Linked DNA regions of Alligator mississippiensis. The protein of the gene in region 1 interacts with the protein of each later gene in a pairwise test. Links are inferred from orthologs where the notes say so. Each region holds a gene or a part of one and is shown in the gene's direction. Other genes may lie near its edges. The genes, in order: DUSP12 and EIF5.

Evidence for each region.
Region 2: the proteins of DUSP12 (region 1) and EIF5 interact in binary tests that used the Homo sapiens proteins (3 or more experiments, as listed by UniProt). The two-hybrid records come from large-scale screens. The link is inferred for Alligator mississippiensis from reciprocal best matches to the Homo sapiens genes DUSP12 and EIF5.

The regions. Positions count from the first base shown.
Region 1 is NC_081824.1:241,096,049-241,107,829, forward strand, and holds DUSP12 (dual specificity protein phosphatase 12), read left to right. Parts: upstream 1-6,578; 5' UTR 6,579-6,593; coding exon 6,594-6,865; intron 6,866-6,952; coding exon 6,953-7,066; intron 7,067-7,138; coding exon 7,139-7,257; intron 7,258-8,019; coding exon 8,020-8,116; intron 8,117-8,626; coding exon 8,627-8,813; intron 8,814-10,367; coding exon 10,368-10,529; 3' UTR 10,530-10,870; downstream 10,871-11,781. UniProt on the Homo sapiens protein: Dual specificity phosphatase; can dephosphorylate both phosphotyrosine and phosphoserine or phosphothreonine residues. Can dephosphorylate glucokinase (in vitro).
Region 2 is NC_081825.1:286,324,618-286,335,649, forward strand, and holds the start of EIF5 (eukaryotic translation initiation factor 5), read left to right. Parts: upstream 1-6,775; 5' UTR 6,776-6,823; intron 6,824-6,953; 5' UTR 6,954-7,146; intron 7,147-8,747; 5' UTR 8,748-8,955; coding exon 8,956-9,027; intron 9,028-9,350; coding exon 9,351-9,432; intron 9,433-9,943; coding exon 9,944-10,116; intron 10,117-10,451; coding exon 10,452-10,563; intron 10,564-10,919; exon of another isoform or gene 10,920-11,032.

The DNA.
Region 1 (11,781 bases):
TTCTCATCTACATTGACAAACTCTACTTGTCTCAAGAAGTCTACAGGCCACAAGAGGTAAGGTGCTACTGGATCTGGTACTGGCCAACAGGGATGATCTAGTAAGCAACCTGAGAATCAAAGGGAAGCTGGAAGACGGTGATCATGAGTTGATCACTTTCTCTATCCATCGCAAAGCTAGCAAATCAGTCAGCAATGCATAAATCCATGATCTTACGAAAGCCAACTTTCATAAGCTCAGGAGGCTGGTTGCCATGGCCCTGAGAAACCAGGATCTAGCAGAGAGGGGAGTCCATGAGGAGTGGTCACTCCTTAAGGATGTGATCCTTGAAGCACAAGGGAAGTCCATCCCAGCCCATAGGAAAGGTAGCAAAATGGCTGGGCGACACCCATGGCTAAATAGGGGACTTACAGACCTCCCGTATCTGAAAAGAGAAGCCTACAAGGGCTGGAAGTCAGGTAACATCACCAAGGAGGATTATTCAACACTGGCCCACACCTGTAGGGAGCAAACTAGGAAAGCCAAAGCCAAATTCAAGTTGGCTACGGGAATCAAGGAAAACAAAAAGTCCTCCTTCAGGTATGTGGGTAGTCGGAAGAAAAACAAGGGCAACATTGGACCCTTGCTAAACCAAATGGGGCAGCTGACAACTGACACCCACGAAAAAACTAATCTCCTTAATGTCAAGGAAAGCTACATGTCCCTGCAAGCCGACACCGGCACCCAGGGTGGATGACTGGAAACCCTCTGGGTTAAAATCCGTGGGGAACACAGCACAGGGGACACAATGGTGGGAGTCTACTACAGACCTCCACCCAGGATCAAGAGCTTGACCAAGACTTCGCCAGGGAATTGGCTGACGCCACATGCTCCTGATGCATGGTTCTCATAGGAGACTTCAACTACCCAGACATCTCATGGGAAGAGTGCTCAGCCAAATCTGAACGGTTGCTAAGATTTCTGTCATGCGCGGATGAGCTCTATCTGATGCAAGAAGTCTATGAGCTGACAAGAGGTAAAGCGCTGCTCGTCCTGGTACTGGCAACGGGGGACAACCTAATCAGCAACCTAATGATCAAAGGGAAGCCGGGTGACAATGACCATGAGCTGATCACCTTCACCATCTGCCATAAAGCTAACGAGTCAGTCAGCAATACAGAAGTCCTCGACTTCAGGAAAGCTGACTTTGACAAGCTCAGGAGACTTGTCAGTGAGGCCCTAAGGGAACATGACCCAAAGGGGAGGGGAGTTCAGGACAAGTGGTTGCTCCTCAAGGGAGCGATCCTGGATGCACAAGCAAAGTGTATCCCATCTCGGAGAAAAGGCAGCAAAAGGGCACAGTAGCACCCTCGGCTCTGCAGTGAACTAGCGGACCTCCTCTGTCTAAAAAGAAAGACCTACAAAGGATGAAGATCTGGATCCACCTCCAAGGAGAAATGCTCTGCACTAGTCCAGAACTGCAGGGAGAGAACCAGGAAAGCCAAGGCTGCGAGTGAACTCCAACTAGCTACAAGTATCAAGGACAATAAAAAGTCCTTTTTTAGGTATGTGGGGAGTCAGAGGAAAAGCAAGGGCAACACTGGGCCCATGCTAAACCAAATGGGACAACTGATAACTGACACCCAGGAAAAAGCCAGCTTACTAAATGGGTACTTTCCGTTGGTTTTTCACCAGTCCCATGGGACGCCCCTGCCCATTATGGGATGGGAAGGCCTGGGTGAGGGAGATTCCTCACCCTCCATCAATGCTGACCTCATGAAGGAACACCTTGAGAGGCTGGATACCTTCACGTCAGCCAGCCCTGACAGTTTATACCTGAGGGTACTCGAGGAGCTGGCAAGCATCAGAGCTCAGCCCTTGGCACAGATCTTTGAGAACTCCTGGTGCTCTGGTGAACTGCCCGAAGATTGGAAGGCCAATGTGGTGCCTATCTTCAAGAAAGGGAGGAAAGTGGATCTGACAAACTACAGGCCCGGGATAGACCTCTATCCCGGGGAAGGTCTTAGAAAAGATTATCAAAGGGACCGTTCTTAACAGATTGGCTGAGGGATAGCCAGCATGAGTTGGTTGCGGATAGGTCTTGCTTGACCAATCTTATTTCCTTTTACGACCAGGTGACCTATCACCTGGTCAAGGGAGACAAGATTGATGTGATATACCTTGACTTTAAAAAAGCCTTTGATTTGGTATCCCATGATCACCTCTTAGCAAAATTGGCTAACTGCGGCCTCGGCCTCACCATGATCCACTGGCTGGGGAATTGGCTCCGTGGTCAGACCCAGAGGGTGGTAGTTGATGGAAGCCCATCATTCTGGTGTGCTGTGACCAGTGGGATCCCTCAAGGCAGTGTCCTTGGGCCTATACTATTCAACATCTTCATTAATGATGTATGTGGATATTGGTATTAGACGCGGACTGGCCAAGTTCGCTGATGACCCCAAACTCTGGGGTAAAGCGTCCACACCTGAGGACAGGAGGGCGATCCAGGCTGACCTTGACAGGCTCAGGAAATGGGTGGACAAGAACCTGATTGTGTTTAACACTGAAAAATGCAAGGTTCTCCACTTTGGGAGGAAAAATCTGCAGCATCCTTATAGGCTCGGCAGTGCTACACTGCCTAGCACTATGGATGAATGGGACTTGGGGGTCATGATTGACCACAAGATGAACATGAGCCATTAATGTAATGCTGCATCTAGTAAAGCGCACAAAATGCTGGTTTGCATCCATAAATGCTTCTCAAGCAAATCCCGGGACATCATTCTGCCATTGTACTCGGCCTTGGTGAGGCCGCAGCTAGAGTACTGCATCCAGTTTTGGACTCCACAATTCAAAAAGGAAGTGGAGAAGCTTGACAGAGTCCAGAGGAGAGTCATGTGCATGATCAGAGGTCAGGAAAACAGACCTTCTGATGACAGGCTGAGAGCTATGGGACTCTTCAGCCTGGAAAAGCACAGGCTCGGGGTGATCTGGTAGCCACCTATAAGTTTATCAGGGGTGCTCACCAGGATCTGGGGGAACGTCTGATCACCAGAGCACCCCAAGGGATGACCAGATTGAATGGTCACAAACTCCTCCATGACCATTTCAGGCTGGATATAAGGAAGAACTTCTTTACTGTTCAAGCCCCCAATGTTTGGAATAGACTGCTGCCAGAGGTGGTTCAAGCACCTACTTTGAACACCTTCAAGAGACATTTGGATGTTTATCTTGCTGGGATCCTATGACCCTTGCTGACTTCCTGCCCCTGGGGCAGGGGGCTGGACTCGATGATCTTCCAAGGTCCCTTCCAGTCCTAGTGTCTATGAAATCTAAGACACCAAACTATGGGGAAGTGTGGTCTCATCTGAGGACAGGCTGGTGATTCAGGCCAACCTGGACAAGCTTGCAAGGTGGGCGGATCAAAACCTGATGGCATCCAACACTGAGAAATGCAAGGTGCTCCACCCTGGGAAAAAGAATTCACATCATACCTATAGGCTCAGCAGTGCTATGCTCACTAGCACCACGACCGAAAGAGATTTTGGGGTCATGATTGTTGGATCATGTTCATTTTGTAGCCAATGCAATGATGCAGCTGGCAAAGCAAACAAAACTCTGGCTTGTATCTATCGATGCATCTCAAGCAAGACCCAGGATGTCATCCTCCCGCTGTACTCAGCCTTGGTACTGGGCTGGAGCATTACATTTAGTTCTGGGCTCTGAACTTTAGGAAGGATGTGGAGAAGCTTGAGAGAGTCCAGAGGAGAGCCATGTGCATGATTAGAAGTCAAGAGAACAGGTCTTATGAGGAAAGGCTGAGGCATGGGAATCTTCAGCCTGGAAAAGTGAAGGCTCAGGGGGGACTTGGTGGCTTCCTATAAGTATATGAGGGTGTAACAGGGGACCCTAGCCCTGTTACCAGAAGGCACGTCCGCCCCTTTAAGGCCAGAACTTTCTGGGCATGAAGTGCTGGGAAAGAAGGGGTTAAATGTTGAGCCTGGTCAGCTAGTCAGCTGACCGGAAGGGGCAGGACTATAAAAACCCTGGGCAGAGCTGTAATTTGGAGGGAGCTGCTGGAGGGGAAGGAGTGCCTCAGAGAGTTTCATGGAGAAGCAGTCCAAAGGTGGTAAGAGGGGAGCCATGAAGGCCCCGGGGAGACGGCAACCCCATCACAGCAAAGACATGAGCTGACGGTGGGGAGCCGAAGCACGGACCCGGTGAATGTAAGCTGACACGCTGCTTTTCTTTATCACATTAGCTGGTGGCGGTTATAACCCATGGATGGGACTGTTTGGTTTTTTTTCTTTCTGATTAATGAATAAGACCGGCGGTTTGGGTGAGGTTATTAGGGGAAGGAGGAGGCCTCATTTTGGGGACCCACTATGGAGTGGGGACCCCAGCGCCAGTGAGGGTGTGGCTTTTTTGGGGGGGAGAGGCACAGACCCCAGTGCCAGCGAGGGTGTGGCTTCTTGGGGGGGGGGGGGCGGGGCACAGACCCTGGTGCCTGAAGGCAAGATCTTAAAAAGGCCAGGGAGGTCTGGTGCGCTTGTGGTGCAACTTTATTTTGGTATCTTTTTTTTTGGACTGGGAGGCTGCGAGCTCAGGGCCGTCCCCTGGCTTTGAACTTGTGGCCCCTCGGCTGTGGGGTTGGTGCCCGGGCCCCTGGGCCAGGCTCCAGATTGGAACAGAAAAGAGGGCCAGGAGCCTCAAGACACTGAAAAGGCTAGAGCCTTGAAGTCAAACCCTGTTTAGTTGGTTTAGATGGAGAGGCCTAGCCAGGGGTCAGGCCTGCGTAGGTGAAAGGCCCCAACCTACCCAAAGAAATAGGCAGTCTCCCGCTCACAAGAAAATCATCATAATAATTTCCATCAAGACGTGGCAGGTGAGTATAGGGCGGGACATAAGAACCCCAAAGAAGGCTCCAAGGGCGCCCCCATAAGGCGTGGATTACCAGGAAGATGGCACTGGGGAGGTGACCTGTTACAGAGGGGTATGCACCAGGAATTGGGAGAATGTCTGTTTTACCAGGATACCCCAAGGGAAGACAAGGTCTAATGGTCACAAACTCTGGGAAGACCATTTTAGGCTGGACATAAGAAAAATCTTCTTTACACTCCGAGTCCCCAGAGTCTGGAATAGACTCCCTGCAGAAGTGGTGAAAGCACTTACTCTGGACACCTTTTAAGACACACTTGGATCCCTATCTTGCTGGGATCATTTGACTCCAGCAGCCTTCCTGCCCCTTGGGCATGGGGCTGGACCCGATGATTTTATGAGGTACCTTCCAGCCCTAATGTCTATGAAATTTGCATCATCACAGAGCCTCACAAGAGAGCTAAGAGACTCCTTACTAGCTAAGAACTGCCTGCCCAGAGGAGTATTCTATCTATTGACCCCTCTGTGAAATCCTATGAAATATGAGCTTTTATTTCTACCCAGGAGAACTTTTACAATGTTTTTCTCCAATGCCTGATGAAGGGTGTTTGTGCCTGAAAGCTAAGATAACATTTTTGCAAAAAAAAATGGTCTAATAAAAGATATCAAATCTACCATGAGCCTATCACCTCTACTCGCCTGCTCTCACTTGTTTGTCTATTACTTTTGTAACTTTTTGCATGTCAAATTGTCCAATCCTCTGGTTCTGTACCAAGCATGGTGCACCAATCCTCTGACACTGTGCCAAGCACATTCCTTATAGGGAAACTGTTGTAACTTGCTTGGCCAGTGCCTAATCGCAGCACTCACATCTCCCAGTGCCACAGAAAGTGCTCTGTTCAATCTGTTGCTTAGCTCCAGAAGGCCTGGACTTGGACTATGGCTAAAAAGCCTTGCATAAATCTCAGTTGCCTGCTACATGAGAATTTGGTGTTTTCCACATTTCTCATGAGGCTGAAGTAGGTTCCTTATTCCCAGTTCCTTATTCCTGATTCCCATACTCAGTATGGTGGGGGGGGGGGGGGGGGAGCTGTCAGTTGGCAGCCTGGCACAGCCAAGCTGCGCTTTGAGCTGGGCAAGATGCTAGTCAGGTATGTTCTCTTGTGATACCCAAGCATGGTGTGGGGTGGCCCAAGGATTTTCAGCCATAATCCCAACACAAAAACCAGCGCCTTATTTGACTCCATATACTTAGTACAGTGGGCATGGGAGGCTGTCCGTTGGCAGGGCCAAACTGCTTTGGGGTGGGCAGGACTGCACTCAGGAGTCTTTGGGTGCATCGACAGGAAGTTTGGGGTGGCTCAAGAAGTATTTTGCCCCATAATCTCATCCTAATCTGATCTTCACTTAGGGCTCTGTATTTCATGCAGGATATTAATTCACATATTAATAGGTAAATAAGTATAGCTAATGCAATTCTCTCTTTAAAATGTGTAATTCATTAATAAAAAGCTTTTATTGGGTCTAGATTAGCTTTGAAAAAGGAACCGGGAATCCGGAATAAAGCAGCAACTTCAGCCTCATCATTTCTCTGCATTGTTGGTGCTTTTAAGAGCCTCGTCCAGACCAGCGCGGCGCGTCTCTACTGCAGGAAGGCGCCGTGACCTGGCAGGAGGGGACCGGAAGCTGCCATGAGAGTGGCGTCGGCGGCAGGGCGTGCAGGCCCGGAACCCGCCATGGCGGCGGGGACTGGAATGGTGCGGGTGCGGCGGGGGTTGTACCTGGGCGGTGCGGAGGCGGGCGCGGCGCCGGGGGCTCTGGAAGCGGCGGGGGTGGTGGCTCTGCTCTCGGTGGATGTGGAGGAGCCGGCGCCGCCGCCCCCGGGCGTCCGGACGCTGCACGTGGCGGCCCGCGACGAGCCCGGCGCCGACCTGCTGAGCCACCTGGATGCCTGCGCCGCCTTCCTCGCCGCCGCCCAGGCCACCGGCCGCGCCGCCCTCGTGCGCTGGTGAGAGCGGAGCGGGGCGGGGCGGGGGTGCTGCAGTGCGCTGCTCCGGCCCAGAGCCGAGCCGAGCTTGGGTCGTTTGCTTTGCAGCCACGCGGGGCGGAGCCGCAGCGCGGCGGTGGTGGCTGCCTACCTGATGAAAAGCGAGGGGCTGCGCTTCCCCGAGGCCTACGCCGCAGTCCGCGCCGTCAGGCCCGAAGCTAGGTGAGTGCCGGCCCCCGCCCGCCCCGGAGCCGCCCCCGCGGGTACTGACCCGCGTCGCCCCTGTCCCCGCAGGATGAACGCAGGCTTCGCGCGGCAGCTGGAGCTGTACGAGGCCATGGGGTGCCGGGTGGATGCGACCAGCGGGCTGTACAAGTGCTACCGCCTGCAGCGCCTGGCCCAGGAGCACCCCGGTAAGCCCCGCTCGGAGCCGGCTGGGACTGGGGGAGCACGTGTCTGGGCAGCTGTCAGGTTGGGTGGAGGCCGGGCTCTTGCCTGCTGGGCCCTGACACTGGGGCTACCTGGCAACAAATTGGGGGCTCCTGGGCCTGACCCCCATCCTCACGAGCACGGAGCTGATCAGAGTTGGTGCTGGTAGTCTGGGACACCCTATCGTGCTGGTGGGGTCCTCCAGGTACTGGTGAGGAGTAGGTAGTCCCCAGGTTGCTGGAGATCAGGGTTTCCTACCTGCACACAAGACAGAGTTGGGAGCAGTCCCCTCTCTGTCCCTTCTAGCAGCTTTCCCTGTAGACATAGGGGACATAAGGCCAAATTCTGCAGCTGGACATGCAGGGTGATTCAGGGATTCACAGCAGCGTTGCTGACCACGGAGGGCTCTGGCACCTGGTGACAAGTTGCACGCAAAAGCCTCAGTAGCTGCAACACTAAATGGTGTAGAGGAAGTTTTGTATGCCCAAGCAACCAAGTGTCTTCTGTAGGCTGGAACAATGCCAACGATTGTTGCTGACCCAAGGCTTCTTGCTTTTAGCATGGTAGAGCTTGTCTTACATGTCTGTGTGGGGCTGCTTAGTTTTGAACTTCCTCTAAAATGGAAACAAGGTGAGGAAAGGAAGCTCTCGCATGCAGAGGGGAAAGGCACAACACTTTACCTAGACACAGGAAGTGCTGGGTCTGTCCACCCAGTTCCCAAACTAGTGTTGTCTGTCTTTTTGCAGAGCTGCAGGACTTGCCCCAAGAAGTCTTTGCAATTGATCCAACCAACACTTGTCCAGCTTCAAACAATGAGGCTCTCTATAGGTGCAGAAAGTGCAGGTACATATCCTTTGTCCTCCATAGGTTGTTTTTTTTTTTTCAAAATAAACTGTCATAAGGAAAATGGGTTGGCTATTCTCAGAACAGAAAAAACAAACAAACTTGGAAACGTCCGTTTGAAAAAGGTGTGACTTCCTTCTTCGTGATTTTGCTAACTGTGGCTGTATAAGAAACCAAGTGGAACTGTGGGGGACAATTGGCTGGCTCCAGACCAGTGGTGCTCACAGTTTTGACCCTGTGGGTTAGATGAATAAGCTGGTGCATGAGCCAGATTGGCCCCATACTGCATCCCTTTGGAACTCTTGGGGAGCCCTGCATATTAGATGACATGGCATCAAGGGCTTGGTCTGGTCGACAGGCCAGAAGCTGAACATGTCAGCCATTGCTGACCTTGTTACATGGTTGTGTCGGCTGGACAAAACCCATCCCTTGCCGACAAGGGCTCCTTGTGCCCCTGTGCCTTGGTATACCGTGATGTTCCCACTAATCCTTTGTTATTTTGGATGACAGGCGGTCCCTATTTCGTAGTTCAAGCATTCTGACCCATGCTGAAGGAAGTGGGCCAGCAGCTTTTGCTCACAAGAGAATTAAAGATTCTGCTCAGCGACATAATGATGGTCAGGATAAATGTACTTCTTACTTCATTGAGCCGGTACAGTGGATGGAGCCAGCATTGTTGGGAATGATGGAAGGGCAGGTGAGGGAGTGCTTGCTTGCTGGGCATTCTTGTTCTTGTCTGCATCCCTGACTAGATTTAAGTGTCCTAGTTTTATAGCTGTCATGCAAGGCCTTTTTCACAGTCCACGCAGCTTGAGCCACCTCTGAAGGTGATTAATTTAGGGATTAATTCTCACTTCCTACTGTTCTGGAGCTCCAAGATTAGAAGATGGTCACATTTAGCCTGCAAGTGGTGGTAAGGTGGCACTGAAGGGGGATTTTGCTTCAGGCATCTGCTATGACAATAGCAAGTTAAATTGTAGGCCACTGTTTGATAGTTTAGTTTAAGGTGAAAACATAAGCCTGGAGCAGAAGATGTGTTTCTAGAGCAGCCTCTAGAATTGTACTTTCCTCATGAGAAGTTCTTGTCTTTTGCTGCACATGGGCATTTACTTTTTTCACTGCTGTTAGGATTGAGGTGGGCAGATGTTGATGCTAGTGAGGCTAGTAAATCTTCATTGCGTTCTTTATCTTGCATTCTTCGTCTTTGTTTCATTCTTTTGCAGAACTGGTCTAACCCAAGTGTGTTTCCTGTGGCTCTGGCTCCCTTTCAGTCAGATGAATCCTACTGTTCCTCTTTTCCTCACAGTGATACAGCATGACTTGCCCGTGCTGTTTTCTAGACCTCCTTCATCCTGTTTAGTTCTTCTGCTTACTGGTCCCTTGGCAATCATGGTAGGGTGTGTACCTCTTCTGGTACAGCTTTTGCCCCATGCAGCAGCCTTCTTGTACCTCCTCACATCTTCTCTTTTTGTATTCCAGCTCTACCTTTTGGTTGTGGTTATTACAGAAGTTCTCAGTCTGGCTCACTGTAGAAGTCTCTGTAGAGCAGAGATGGGCAAAGTCCAGCCCACAGTCTCCATGGCAACCCCCGCCTTGAGCTTTCACAGTCCAGATGTGGCGCGGGTCCCCATGGAGACCAGCCCCAGCCATACAGGCTACTGAGAAATGGAGTCTGGCTGCCACTAAATCGGCCATTTTGCCCACCCCTGCTTTAGAATTTGTAGGATGTAGAGCTAGATTTCTAGAAAGCTCTGCTGCTTGGGGAGCTGAAAATTCAGCACTATATTTAGTTGCTCAGTTCCCTGGAACTAAATTTAAGATCAATGGGAGATGATGGGTATTGAACTCAGTTAGGTGCTGAGTTGTTTCATTTAGGTGATGTATAGGAGGTGAGCTCTCTGGGGCGGGGGGGGGGTTCTGTTGTTTTGTTTTGTTTTTTCTGTCAAGTGCTTTTATAAATATGGCCCACAAGAATTTGCCTGCTAAACAAAACAGGGAGCTGTGAAATGGTTTCCAGAAGTGGTCTGCCACTGGAGAAGGTTGAGGAATAATTCCTTTATTGCACTGAAGTAGCTTGCAGTCTTTTGAATGTGGAAGGTGACTCTGTAGTCTGGGGAGGGCTGGGTATGGATTTGAAACTTAAGAAAGTCCCAGGCTGCTGTTGAGTTGCAACTTCCTGAAGTTTAAGTGAAGCTGTGCCTTTGACCAAGCAAATGCATGTGTTTTTTGTTTTGTTTTGGTTTTTTTGCAGCTTCTGTGCCCTAAATGCACATTGAAGTTGGGCTCCTTCAATTGGCATGGAGAGCAGTGTTCTTGTGGCCGCTGGGTGACTCCTGCCTTCCAGATTCACAAAAGTCGAGTAGATGGAATACAAGCACTGCCTGTTGGTGGATTCCAGACTGTCAAAACTTGAATTCTTGGCTCTGAGGCTTGCTGCTGTCAGCGACCTCAATGTGCTTTGAGAACAGAGGACTGTTACAGTGGGATCACCCTCAGCATCAAGTTGTGATTGCTGCTCTTTGGCAAAAGCTGATTTCACCCTCCTGGGATGCAACTGAATGACTTTTAACATTGGCTTATTGCCATTCTAGATCCTTCTTTTTTCTGTTGTTGTTAAATTCATGAGAAGATGCTGGAGCAGTTTTTTAAATGGACAGTGTCTTGTCAAACATCAATTTTTGATTTATTCTTCAGTGTTCAAGTATATATGTTCTTATTGTCTCTGTTAGAAAAATTAAACTTGTTTACACAGGAGCTGTACAAATCCTTGTTTCCAATTGAGTGCTTAGTTTCAAACTGAACAGCAAAGCAGTATGCAACACTTATATTCCAGCAGAGCCAGTCTCCTAATGATAGTGAACACATGAATCAGTGGGAAAAGAGCTTTGTTAGGATGGGCTGGATGAAACTCCCTGGGTGCATGTAATTTGTAGACTGTTATGCTATATGAATTATTGAGGGGAAAAACATGTTAATAAGGTTAATTTAGAAAAAGATGTTATTTGAGACTGCAAGCTCAAGGATTAACATGCTGTTAAAATTCATCCTTTTGAGACTGAGGTCTTGCAGAATACCTGCTGGAAGATTAACCATGATTGACCTGCAGATACAGAGTAAACAATACAACATCTGAAATTGCAGCGGTGTCTTGAGGCTCCTTAGTTGAGGAAGGGGATTGCCTGGCTTTTGCCCTGGGATCAATCAGATTATAACAGTAAAACATTGCTTCTCTAAGGCTACTCCCAAATACCCTTTCTGCCAAGAGCTTGTTTATTGAAGAATCATTAGGACCCATATGATTAAAGGCTGCATGAAAGAGTCAGTGAACTATCTGAAAGGGAATTTGTTCTTTATTACACAGTTTCATGGCTGAAACAGGGAATTTGTAGGTAAGGAGGCAGAAATTCTTGTCTCTTATTGTGCGAGAGCTGTATCCTATCAGTTTGTCTTGCTTCCGGTTCCAGTGCTGCAAGTTTATCTAGGGCTCACTTAGATACTGCTGAACCTGGGATAGCATTTTTCAGACCTGGAAGGTAGGCTCCAGTTGCTGTAGGAAAAATGATGATCAGGAAGAGACCATAAAAGGCTTGCAGTGCTTCATGTTCATCTTACGCACATTCTCATTTGTAGTTATAGAAAAAGGGCAGGAAGGGACCTCGGGAGGT
Region 2 (11,032 bases), on another chromosome or scaffold:
ATAAAAGAAGCAAAAGATGGCACATTTCCAGTGTTTTTATTTTTCCTGGCATACCACCTTTATCTCAACACTACAGACAGCCAGGAGTAGCCAGATAACAGTTGTGGCCATAAGGTAAGCTCTATCTTTAAGAAATTGATTTCAAAGACTTGAGACTATTCAAATGCTAACATTGTTTGGGAATGGCACTCCAGGAAACAAAGACTCAGTGGGAGATGAGATACTGACCCCCCATCTTTTTCTCTGCTCCCTCAGAGGTGAAAGGATCATGGGTTCATTTCCATCTTCTTTCGTTCTGTAGTTCTTTGTGAGGCCCAAGCCAGTGAAGTATCCAACCTCATTGCAGGAACCACAGCAGTTTTGTTCATCACTCTTGCAGCACACTGATATGAAAGATCAATACTTTTTTTCCCCTCAGTGTTACAGCTGGCAAAAAAAAAAAAATTAGTTCACTCCTCTGACTTTCGATACCCGCTGGTTCCACTTTGTGACTTTGAACAGATGAATCATTATACCATTTTAGGGAGGAGGGGGCAGGGTTTCCCTCAACTCAGCTGAATTCCCTGCAATTGGTTTTACCACTCTTATCTTGTGGTAAATACAAGTTAAACTATTAAATTTTACTCCTGAATGAAGTAGGGCAACATTACCACAATTTAGCCCCACTTACTATAGGGTAGAGGTAGACAGGCAAATGGATTACAAAGGAGCAACTGTGTAACACTCACAAGCACCTAGTATAGTCCCTCACTTTTAACTGGCATATTTGTTTGTTCATAGCTGGTGACTGTAATGACTATTATGTATTAACGGGAGTGAGTTACTAGAGGTGATTCTACTACTTATTCAGCTTCCCCAGAATACTGTCCAGCTTGGGGCACCACGCTTCAAAAAAGACATGGACAAATTGCAAAGAGCCCAAGGAGAGCAGTGAAATAACTGGATATCTAGAAATCGTGACTTAGGAAAGGTGGAAGAGCTGATATTATTTAGACTGGAGAAGGGAGGATTAACAGAGAATTTGATGACAACCCTGCACAAAGGGTTGCTACAAAGAGGATGGTAGTCAACTGTTCTCTGTGTCTTCAGGGGAAAGGACAAGAAGTAATGAGTTTAAATGCAACAAGGGAGACTTAAGATGAATATTATGAAGAGTGTTTTAACTATGAGTATGATTAAATGTTGGAACAGATCACCTAGAGAGTTTGACCCATCTCCAACTGTGGAAATTTTTAAATACAGGTTAGGCAAATATTTGGCTGGCGTGGTTTAGACAGGGATGATCCTGCCTTGAGCAGGGTGTTGGCCTAAATCCTGAGGTCCCTTCCAGCCATATGATTCTAAGATTAAAATAGCATGATGTTTAAGAAAATACTTCTCTTACTATGAGCATGTATGCATATTAGTGCACTAGGGCCCCAATGTTGGATGAGTCCTGTAGGTACTGCTGTAATAACAGGAACAAAAAACATCTTCTGCCTATCACTATACCTCTTGTTCTCCCGATTCTTTCTTTATTTCCTCTCTTTAAATAACAGTGTTTGTTAACAGCAAATTACTACTATAGAACAGGGGCACCAGAGTATTTCACAACCCAAAATTTTCAGGAATCAAGGGTTTAGCAGTGGTGGGCCAAATTAATGCTGCTTGCTCTAAAAGCAGGCTCCCACTTGTGAGTAGGACACTGCCACCAATTCCCCCTGTACCCACATTGCTGCCAAAGCCCCCGCTCTGTAGGCTGGATAAAACAGCTTGGTGGGTCAGATTTGACCTGTAGGCCATAGGCTGCCACCCCCTGAACAAGATGAGCGGAGCTGCACAACGGTTGGTGATGTGGAGATGCTGGCCAGGGACAAAAGAATAAACTTCTACTCTCTTTGCTACCAAAACTTTTTTATTTTTAGCATCTGTGGAGAACAGATATCTGAAAGAACCTTGTAGTGTACACTTCATTCCTGTTTCTTGCTGGGCACATGTAAACTACATGATTTCAATATATCCACTTTAGAAACCTGAAGGACTGTCAACCCTGCAGAAATCCAGACTTGTGTTTCCCAAGAGTTTACATATTCAAACCTGACACCTAAATAATTAAGTTATCTCTTCACACTGCCAAGACAGGAAGAAGAGAGCACTTAATTATTTGGGTGCCAGGCTTGAATATTTAAATTACCAACCCTCCTTTCTGACCAGTTACTACATACCTGATTCAACTACTCGGTTGAATTGCGCCCACACAGTAGATTCTTTCACAACACAACTGTAGGTCAGCCATGACGGTGCAGCTACTCTTGCTATACGTACTTCCTGGGTGTGTGTATCACTGTATTTTGGGAAAATCTGGACAGCTTTCAGGGGATATGCCTCAGTGGAGCGCTGGGTGCTCGGAGAGCAGCACTAAGACTAAATACATGCATGGGTGTCCTTCAGTACAGAGCTGGAAAGACATGAATTGAGCAGATCAGTTACATAAGCACAACTCGGGGGGGTTCCTCTGCTGCAAAAAACTTCACTGAACCAGTCATGGGAAGACAACACGTGCAGCTCACAAATCTGGCATGGGAAAATGTTACTCCCAGCTGTGGTTACTGACTGAATGTTAAAATAGCCAACAACATTCCTAATAGATTACAAACTTTCTTAACTTGCGGATAAGCAGGGCCTAAAATTTTATAAACATATTGGTTTATAAGGATTCCCATGCTCTTGTGGCCTGGTATCTTATGTACAAATATCTGGTAGATCCTTAATTATTCCTTTTTCTCATTTAGCTGTAGCATGTCATCATCCTAGCTGTAGCACCTAACTTTTTTGTAGGATTCTTTAGTAAAACCAGGACAACAAAGAACAAAGTTGAATCATTCAGAGCTGAATTAAACCACCCAAAGACATTTGTATTAAAAAGTAAATTTCCTCTAGAGAGGTGAGTCACTGTTGACAATTTCCTGCTGTCAGTAATATAATTGCTGTTAGAAAATAACTCAGACAGCTACTGCCAACCAATAATCTCTTAACTAAAAGAGCTGAGTATAGTTATACATTGCTTAGCTTATACCAGTGAAATGCAAGGTACACAAGTGGCCTGTATTTTGAAGGTCACATCAGCAATTTAAACTGAATTTATGAACTTTGGTACTTGTGCAACCATGAGAGTAAAGAGGGGAAGAGTTATTTTTGCTATCTCATCAAAGGCAGAAGTTTCTAAAATGAACAAAATTCAAATTCTTTTTATTCAGTAGCAGTACCTGAGATCAAGAGTTAAATTGATTTTTTTTTTCAAGTTAGATGACATGAAAAATGAGTCCTCCAAAGCATCAAGGAATGCAGTTTAGCTTAGCCAGTGTAAGCCAGTGTAAGCCAGTGTAATGAGAGACTGTCCTCTGACTTCATTCACATTGGACGAGTGCCACGTTTTATGAACAACACTTCAAAAGGAACCTGTGAAATGATGCCAATTTGTTTAATGTAAAATAAAGATGTAACCTGTGTCCCAGTACCACTGAAGTCATCCATTTGAACCTTTATTCATTACGTCGAATGCACCAAATTTGGGGTCCCTGCTTCCCCTCTGCTACACATAGAAATAATGTGGGCAGCAGCACAAACCTCAGAAGCGCTGTGCCTTGAAACTAAAGCCACAGAAAGAAGGCATTTAGCAAGTTACACATCCAGTACATTTTTGCAACAGAGACATTTCCTGCTGGGCTTTTCTTGCATCCCTCATTCTGATGATTTCTTCCTCTTGCTAATTTCCAACTCATGCCTATATTGGAGAGACACTTCCCTAATTTGAATTCTAAAACAGTATTTAAAATCTCTCCTGTTGAGGAATGTTGCTGTGCCTGGTTCGAGATGACACTGAAAATGTCTCTGAGGACTTTTAACAATCCCTCATTCAGGCAGTCAGAGTTCAAGCCAGCCCTGCATGCCCATTTTCTAAGTCAGTGTCCTGTCCTGAACACTTGCTATTCACAAGGCTGAGCAGAGACGTGTAATTAGGGCAGCAGCCATGTTGTAGGAGGGTCTTGCTAGGAGACAGTATTCAGGGAAACACATATACATCTCTGGCAACTGCATTCCTGCTAGGCTGCTGTTGCTGCTGAGGAAACATTGTTTTCATTGCTGGATGTGACTGATATTTTCCTTAGCAATAGCCTTTGTGTTCTCTAGGAAAATAACATTTGTCAGCCACCTTTGCACTCCAGTGTTGCTCTTTTGTCTGTCAGAGCAAGTCTTCAAGATACATTAAAAGGTGCAAGAAGAGAGCAGTTCCCTTTGTTTGTGTCAGCTTTGTACAGCTGATCTTGAAATCTTTTGGTTTAAACTTAATGTGTACCTGGATTTAAAACCTCCTTTGTATTTGTGTTGGATATTATTCTTATTAAAATCTTAATTCTTCAACAATCTGCCCCTTTTTATTCTTCTTACTCTTCCAGAGATCCTGCAAAATGCTGTATAACATTATCAGTAAAACATGCTCAGTTACAAGGAATCTTTTGCCATTGTCTGTAAAGGAGCAGAGGATACGAATACGAAGAGGTGGTTTGTTATGTGAACTGCTAAAATTTTAATCATGACCCTACTGTGCCTTGGCACTTCCTCTTTATATTACCAGTATATGGCTATAAAAATATCCAAAATATTTAATTACTGCTTTCTTGTGGGTGGGGGGACAGGTCTTTGAATGTGTTCCCCTGAATGCCTTCATGCTGACCCTGCTTGAAAGGGAACATAATGTTTCTGGTAATCACTGGTAATTAAGGAAGTAAAAGATGAGGAAATGGGTTTGAGTTCTGTGTCCTTTACAAGACTAATATTTTTTAAATGAGACTTCAAATCCTGGTGGTATCCACACTTGGAGCCTCTGTCCAGGCAGGAAACAAACTCCCAAGGGAGGTGGTGCTCTCCCCTACCCTGGGGGTCTTCAAGAGGAGGTTGGATATGCATCTAGCTGGGGTCATCTGAACCCAGCACCCTTTCCTGCTTATGCAGGGGGTCGGACGCGATGATCTATTGAGGTCCCTTCCGACCCTAACATCTATGAATCTATGAAACTGGCAGCATTGGTGTGGCAAGTTGCAATCGTCTGCACAGAAACACCTTGGCGCCGTTTTGTGATGGGTCGTTCTGGGATGGGTCACAGCTCACTGAATTAGCTTCCAGGTCCACCCAAATTTGAGCCTCTATGAATGTTAACCCCTGCAAATAAACTTGTTAACACACGGGGAGTTTTAACAATGCACCCCTGATATCTAATGTACAGTATACAGGTGTTTAGCATACATGACTTATGTAACATCAAACCTTTGGTCACGCCTGTACACCATAACTTAAGACCCACCCAAATGGGTCCTGGATAGGATGTGGCATTGCTAGAGACTGTGTAAGTGACTGAGAGAATTGGCAGTGTCGTAAAAAGGGGCTGGGGGCGAACACAGCGACCGCCCCAGGCACTGAAGAGAAGGGGCACTGACAGGCGCTGCCCAGCCGGGACAGGGCGCAGATGGAGCCGCGAGTGGCTCATTTGTGGGGGCACGGGGAAAGTGTGGCTCCCACCTCTGCGTGCACTCCCGGGCAAGTGCGGGGGGTTGTGTGGCCCCTGGATCTGCGCGCAGGGCGAGGGCAGGCTGCCACTGCAGACTCTGCCCCGGGTGGCAAACTTCATTGCTACGGCACTGAGAACTGGAGATTCGCGCCCTTCCTGTAGGCTTGGACCATGCTTGGTTCCATGTCCATACCAGGAGCTGACAGCGATGGGGGCTGTAACCCTGTGTGGGGCAGGGAAAACTGGGCCTTCGTGCCCTCTTTAATGTGGAGGGTAAGCCAGGCTTACGAGCTCATGGCCATTTGTGTGGCTGGTATTTAGACTCCGCGCTCTGCTGGCCAAACAAGTCTCACGCTCAGCCGGACGGCCCTTCTCCACCTGCACGCGATGCGGTTACTTCCAAACGCCCGGCTCAACCTGCTCCAAAACTGCAGGGTTAGCTGCGGGCATCGGCTGGCAGAACCTGGCAAACGGGGTTCAGAACGGGAAGCGGGACAGAGGCAGCCTTGAGCAGGAGACCCAGCACCTCCGCACCCCCAAGCGGTGGGGGGCAGCCCTTAGCAACCCCCCAGCCCAGCTCCCCTCATCTGCCCATGGTGGTGTCTCAGGTTGAGGGACGCCAGGACTGACTCCTCTCAGCAGGCAGGAGAAAAATAAAACAAGCATGTTTTATTGGGGGAAAAGATTCATGGGGGGGGGGGGGGGGCTGGGTCCCTGGCACGTGGCTGGGGGGCACATGTGTCAACCAGGCTCGGTGTGGGGAGCAGTGGGGAGCATGTGGTCTGAGAAGAGCCTGGTGAGGAGCGGAGGCGGAGCCCCGGCACGCGACACGTGCACATGCCCCAGGACACAGGGCGCCACTGCCCCGGGCAAAGGGGGCTGAGACCATAAGAGACAAACGAGGGGGAGGGGGGCGCGGGGCACAGGGGGCGCCTGCCACGTGTCTCCCCCTCCCCGGCGGCACATGGGTCAATCCAACCCCTCCCCCGCGGGGAGCAGCACCAGATCCCGCTTCACTGAGTCATTCCTCTCTCCCTCCCCCCACCTCTTCCTCCAGCTTCTCGCGAGACTTCCCCGCAGTAGACGCGATGTCCTTTGGGGAAGCAAAGAGGGGGGGGCAAGGGGAGGCTAGTGCGGTTTGAGAGCTAAGCGCGGCAGCCAATAGGGTGGGCGGAGGGCGTGCGGCCAGCCAATGGCAGGAACGCGGGGGCGGGGCACGCCGTTGGCTGATTGATCCCAGCTTTGGCGTTGTTCAGTCCGAGCGAGAACATTCTAGAGGTGAGTACGGGGCGGCCATTGCCGGGCTTCCAGCCGCTGCCCCCTCCCCTCCAGCTCCAACTCAGCTGCGCCCGCCGCCGCCACGCAGGTGCCACCGCTAATGATGCCCCCGCCCGCGTGTCTCCCGCAGGTTGTCCGGCGCCGCCGCTGCCCCTGCTGATCCCGCCCGCCCCAGGACGCTCGGACCCGGCGGCTGCGGCGCCCGCCTCCGCCTCTCACCGCCCGCCTATAAGCGCCGCACCGCCCGGTTCTCCTTACGCACTCGGCTTCGTCGCGGCCCGGGGCGAGCAGCGTTGGGTTTATGTCTTTATTGGACGAAAACGGTGAGTCCCGCCTGGGGCGGGGAGGTGAGGGGGGTGCCCGGGGCTCAAGCACGGCGGGGGCAGGGAGGGACGCTGGGGATATTGTGAGGGTCGGGGGGGGCGGCAAAAAGTGGTGGTTCAACTCCCTCCCTGCCCGTCTCCTCTCCGCCCCACGCGACGAGACAAGATGGCGGCAGGGCCGCGCCTCCGCGTGATTGGGGGGGGGGGGCGCTGTGGCGCAGTTTCGAATCCGCAGCGCGGGGGGAGGGGCGTGCTAGAACGAAGCTGCGGCTGCTCCTGGACTGCGCATGCGCGCGGTTGGGGGGGGGAGTTTTTCCTGTCCTCATCTCGGTTTTAGGGCTGACTCAGTACTTTGCTGCTGCATTTATGACTCATCACTGCTGTGAGGGGAGGGAGGGAGGCGGCCATCCTGCCTGCGCAGGCTCTGTCCTGTGAGGAGCAGTGCTGCCCCTGCTGCTGTGGGAGGGTGGGTTGCTTCAAGACAAAAGCAGTAGGCTAGAAAGGAGGGCGCAGTTCAGAGGCACCATCTTTTTGGACACGTGTTTGGGTCACATGCAGCCTTCTTCTTCTCCCCCCCCCCCCCCCCCACCCCAATTTGCTGGCAAAAGGCTCTCTTGTAGTTATGCAGTAAATCCAATTTTAATAATACTGGATCTCAAGCAGTGGAGACCCAGTAATGTAAAAAAGATAGTGTTTTGGTAATAACATAAAGTACTTGGAAAAATGTGGCTTCTGTTTGTTTGTTTGTTTGTTTGTTTGTTTTCTATTAGACTTTCTTCTGGTTGGTGTACTCTAATCATGTCCTGAATAAAAATTTAAGAAAACATTGGGTAGTGCAGCATTAGTTACCAAGGTGCATCGATATACCTTGGGGGATTGCTCTCAATTCTACTTTAGAGTACGTAAATTGGATTAGATGTGCACTTTGCTACTGACTTCCATTTGGTGAATTCCAAAGCAGTCTTGTGTACTTTTTTTAACCCTTTTGGTACCCAGCTAGTTAACCAACTGTGGTAACAGTAAATCCAGCTCTAATACCTGCACTTGTCTCCAAAATGTCCATATAGTAACAAGTCCACTTGTTAACTCTGTCCTTTCTACTTTATATAGTAGCAATAAAATTCTGTTTAAGTAATTGGAATATAAATCATCATAAATATAAATCGTATACAATATAAATCAGCATTTTTTCATATTTATGCTTCAGTTAACTTAATTATTAGTTGCCTGTAGCTGTTCTAATAGTAGGGCTCCTCCCAAGAATGCAGGAAAGGGTTGGGCAGAGTACTCTTAATTCCTTTGTTCCTCAGAAGTAAGTTTAGCAGTGGAAAACTACTTAAAGAACTGCTAATGGCTAAATGAGGTTGAAGAGAGCTGCTGTAAAAACATGAAGTGCCACAAGAATTTTTTGGGGAGGAACTAAAGTAGACAGTTGGTTTTAAAGGTGCACACATTTTTTCCATGATTGCAAAACAACAGAAATATCTGAATTTGAATCTTAATAAAATTAATCAAATAACTGTAGAATAGAACCCTGCACTGAACAAGCTTTCTATTTAATACTGGCAGTCTAAATTGTTCCTTTTATTTAATACTTTCAGAGCTGTTGCGCAGCCATTGGTACCTGTATTGGGGAAACATAGCGTACAAGCAAGAACCTTACAGCCTCAGTGGCGAAAATTTTTTCATGTCAGAGACCGAGAACTCTTGCAGTCGTTTATGTCATCCCGTCTTCTCCAGACAGAAGATACCAAAAAACTGCAATCAAAGATCTCTTCATCTTATTGATAAAGCAACTAATAAGACAAAATGTCTGTCAACGTCAACCGCAGTGTTTCAGATCAGTTCTATCGCTACAAAATGCCCCGTCTGATTGCCAAGGTAACTTCTTTTTTTTTTTTTTAATTTGTAGTCTCAATAACTAGCTCTCAGATTAAGTTAAATTTTCATCCCTATTTAAATGTTTAAGGAATGTGAGTTGCAGAGGTGACAAGACTAGTTCAGGGTCCCTTGGTTGGTCAGAGGTATTGCTTCTCAGCCTCTTGAAGGCTCAGATCACAAGGCTTAGATTCTGTACTCGTATTGTGGTTAGTGCTACAGTGTGCTACATTACCAAATGTAATCTGAGGAATGCTTTAAAAGCTTGTTGGGGAATGGCCATTACACATTTAACTAACTAAATCTCTGACTACTATTCCTTCTAGGTTGAGGGCAAAGGAAATGGAATAAAGACAGTTATAGTCAACATGGTTGACGTTGCAAAGGCGCTTAATCGGCCTCCAACGTGTAAGTATCTTTAATTTTGAAATCCTTGTATTTTGTTTCTCTTTTTGTAAAGTACCTGAAATCATACTGTGTTAAAAAAAAAAAAAAAAAAAGGAGAGGAAGCACTAAGTCATAAATGTCAATAGCAAATGCCAGATCATGAATCAAACCATGAATGGGAAACTTGTCAGCATAAAATGACTAACCTCACATGATGACTGTGGCTTCTTTCTTTGCATCTCAAAATGGCCAAACAGAAGAATCCTTTAATCATAGGTTAAAGGTCTATTACAGTTGAACTTAGTGTCTTTTTTTTAAACTTTAAGACAAGTGTTTGGTAATTTTGCATAACATGCAACGGCTCCTTACTTTATTATCAAAACTAGTACTAGTATTATCAAAACTAGTATTGGCTCACTCTTTCTGTTTGGCACCACATTGAGACACTGTGTTGGCATAGAAGGCAGGAATTAACTGTGAATCTCCAACTTAGTCCCTTATGATTTATTTTCTCTCTCTCCTTCTTTGAAAGATCCTACCAAATTTTTTGGTTGTGAGCTGGGAGCACAGACCCAGTTTGATGTTAAGAATGACCGTTACATTGTCAATGGATCTCACGAGGCGAATAAGCTGCAAGACATGTTGGATGGATTCATTAAAAAATTTGTTCTCTGTCCTGAGTGTGAGAATCCTGAAACTGATCTGGTGAGTACTTTTAAATATTGGTTGTAGAAACAAGACCTACCTCGTCTGAAAAACTGACATTGCCTTGCATGCTCATTAAGCTCAAGTAGTTAATCTTGCACAGGGTAATGTATATGACGTATGACACACAACCTCAGGAATATGAGATCTGACTTCAAATACCATGCAGAGTAAACAATGTGAATTCAGGGTTGTAGGCATAGCTATGTTTCAAAATTTGTGCACAAGGGATGAATTAGGAGGGCAAAATGTTACTTAAGCCTAGGGAGGTTGGTGGTTTAATGTGCAAAATATAGTTCATACAGAGCTTTAATGTCAAACTTTCACTTTGGCAGCATGTCAATACTAAGAAACAAACTATAGGCAACTCTTGCAAAGCCTGTGGCTATCGAGGCATGCTTGACACGAACCATAAACTCTGCACGTTCATTCTCAAAAACCCACCTGGTAAGTGTATTTTTAGCCACTTTAATTAGAATTAAGCAATCTAGGTGTTAAGACGTTGGTTGGTTGGTTTGTTTTTAACTTGTCAGTGCCTGACTGCATGGTGTAGAGGAGTTTGTTTCCCATTAGGAATGTTAGGGTTCATGGTAAAATCAACAAGATAATAACAATGGCAATCAATACCATGAGTAAAAACCATTTCTCTTACCTAAGATGCTAATCCATGGGTGAAGACAGCCGAGAGCCTTGTAAGCAATTGCCTTGTGTCTCCAGATTTAGTCTGTCCCTTCTAATAGTTACTCCCCTTCTGTTTGGCACTTTTTAGTAAAGTCACTAAGTGGCTTGTTCATTTGTTCTGCAAGCAACACTCTGTGGTAGACATCCATGTTGCCTGCTGCAATTTTAAGCTTGCTATAACAAAGAAGCCTAACCTATTCCAGTGGTCTCTGCTTTGTGAGATCATCTTGTTATA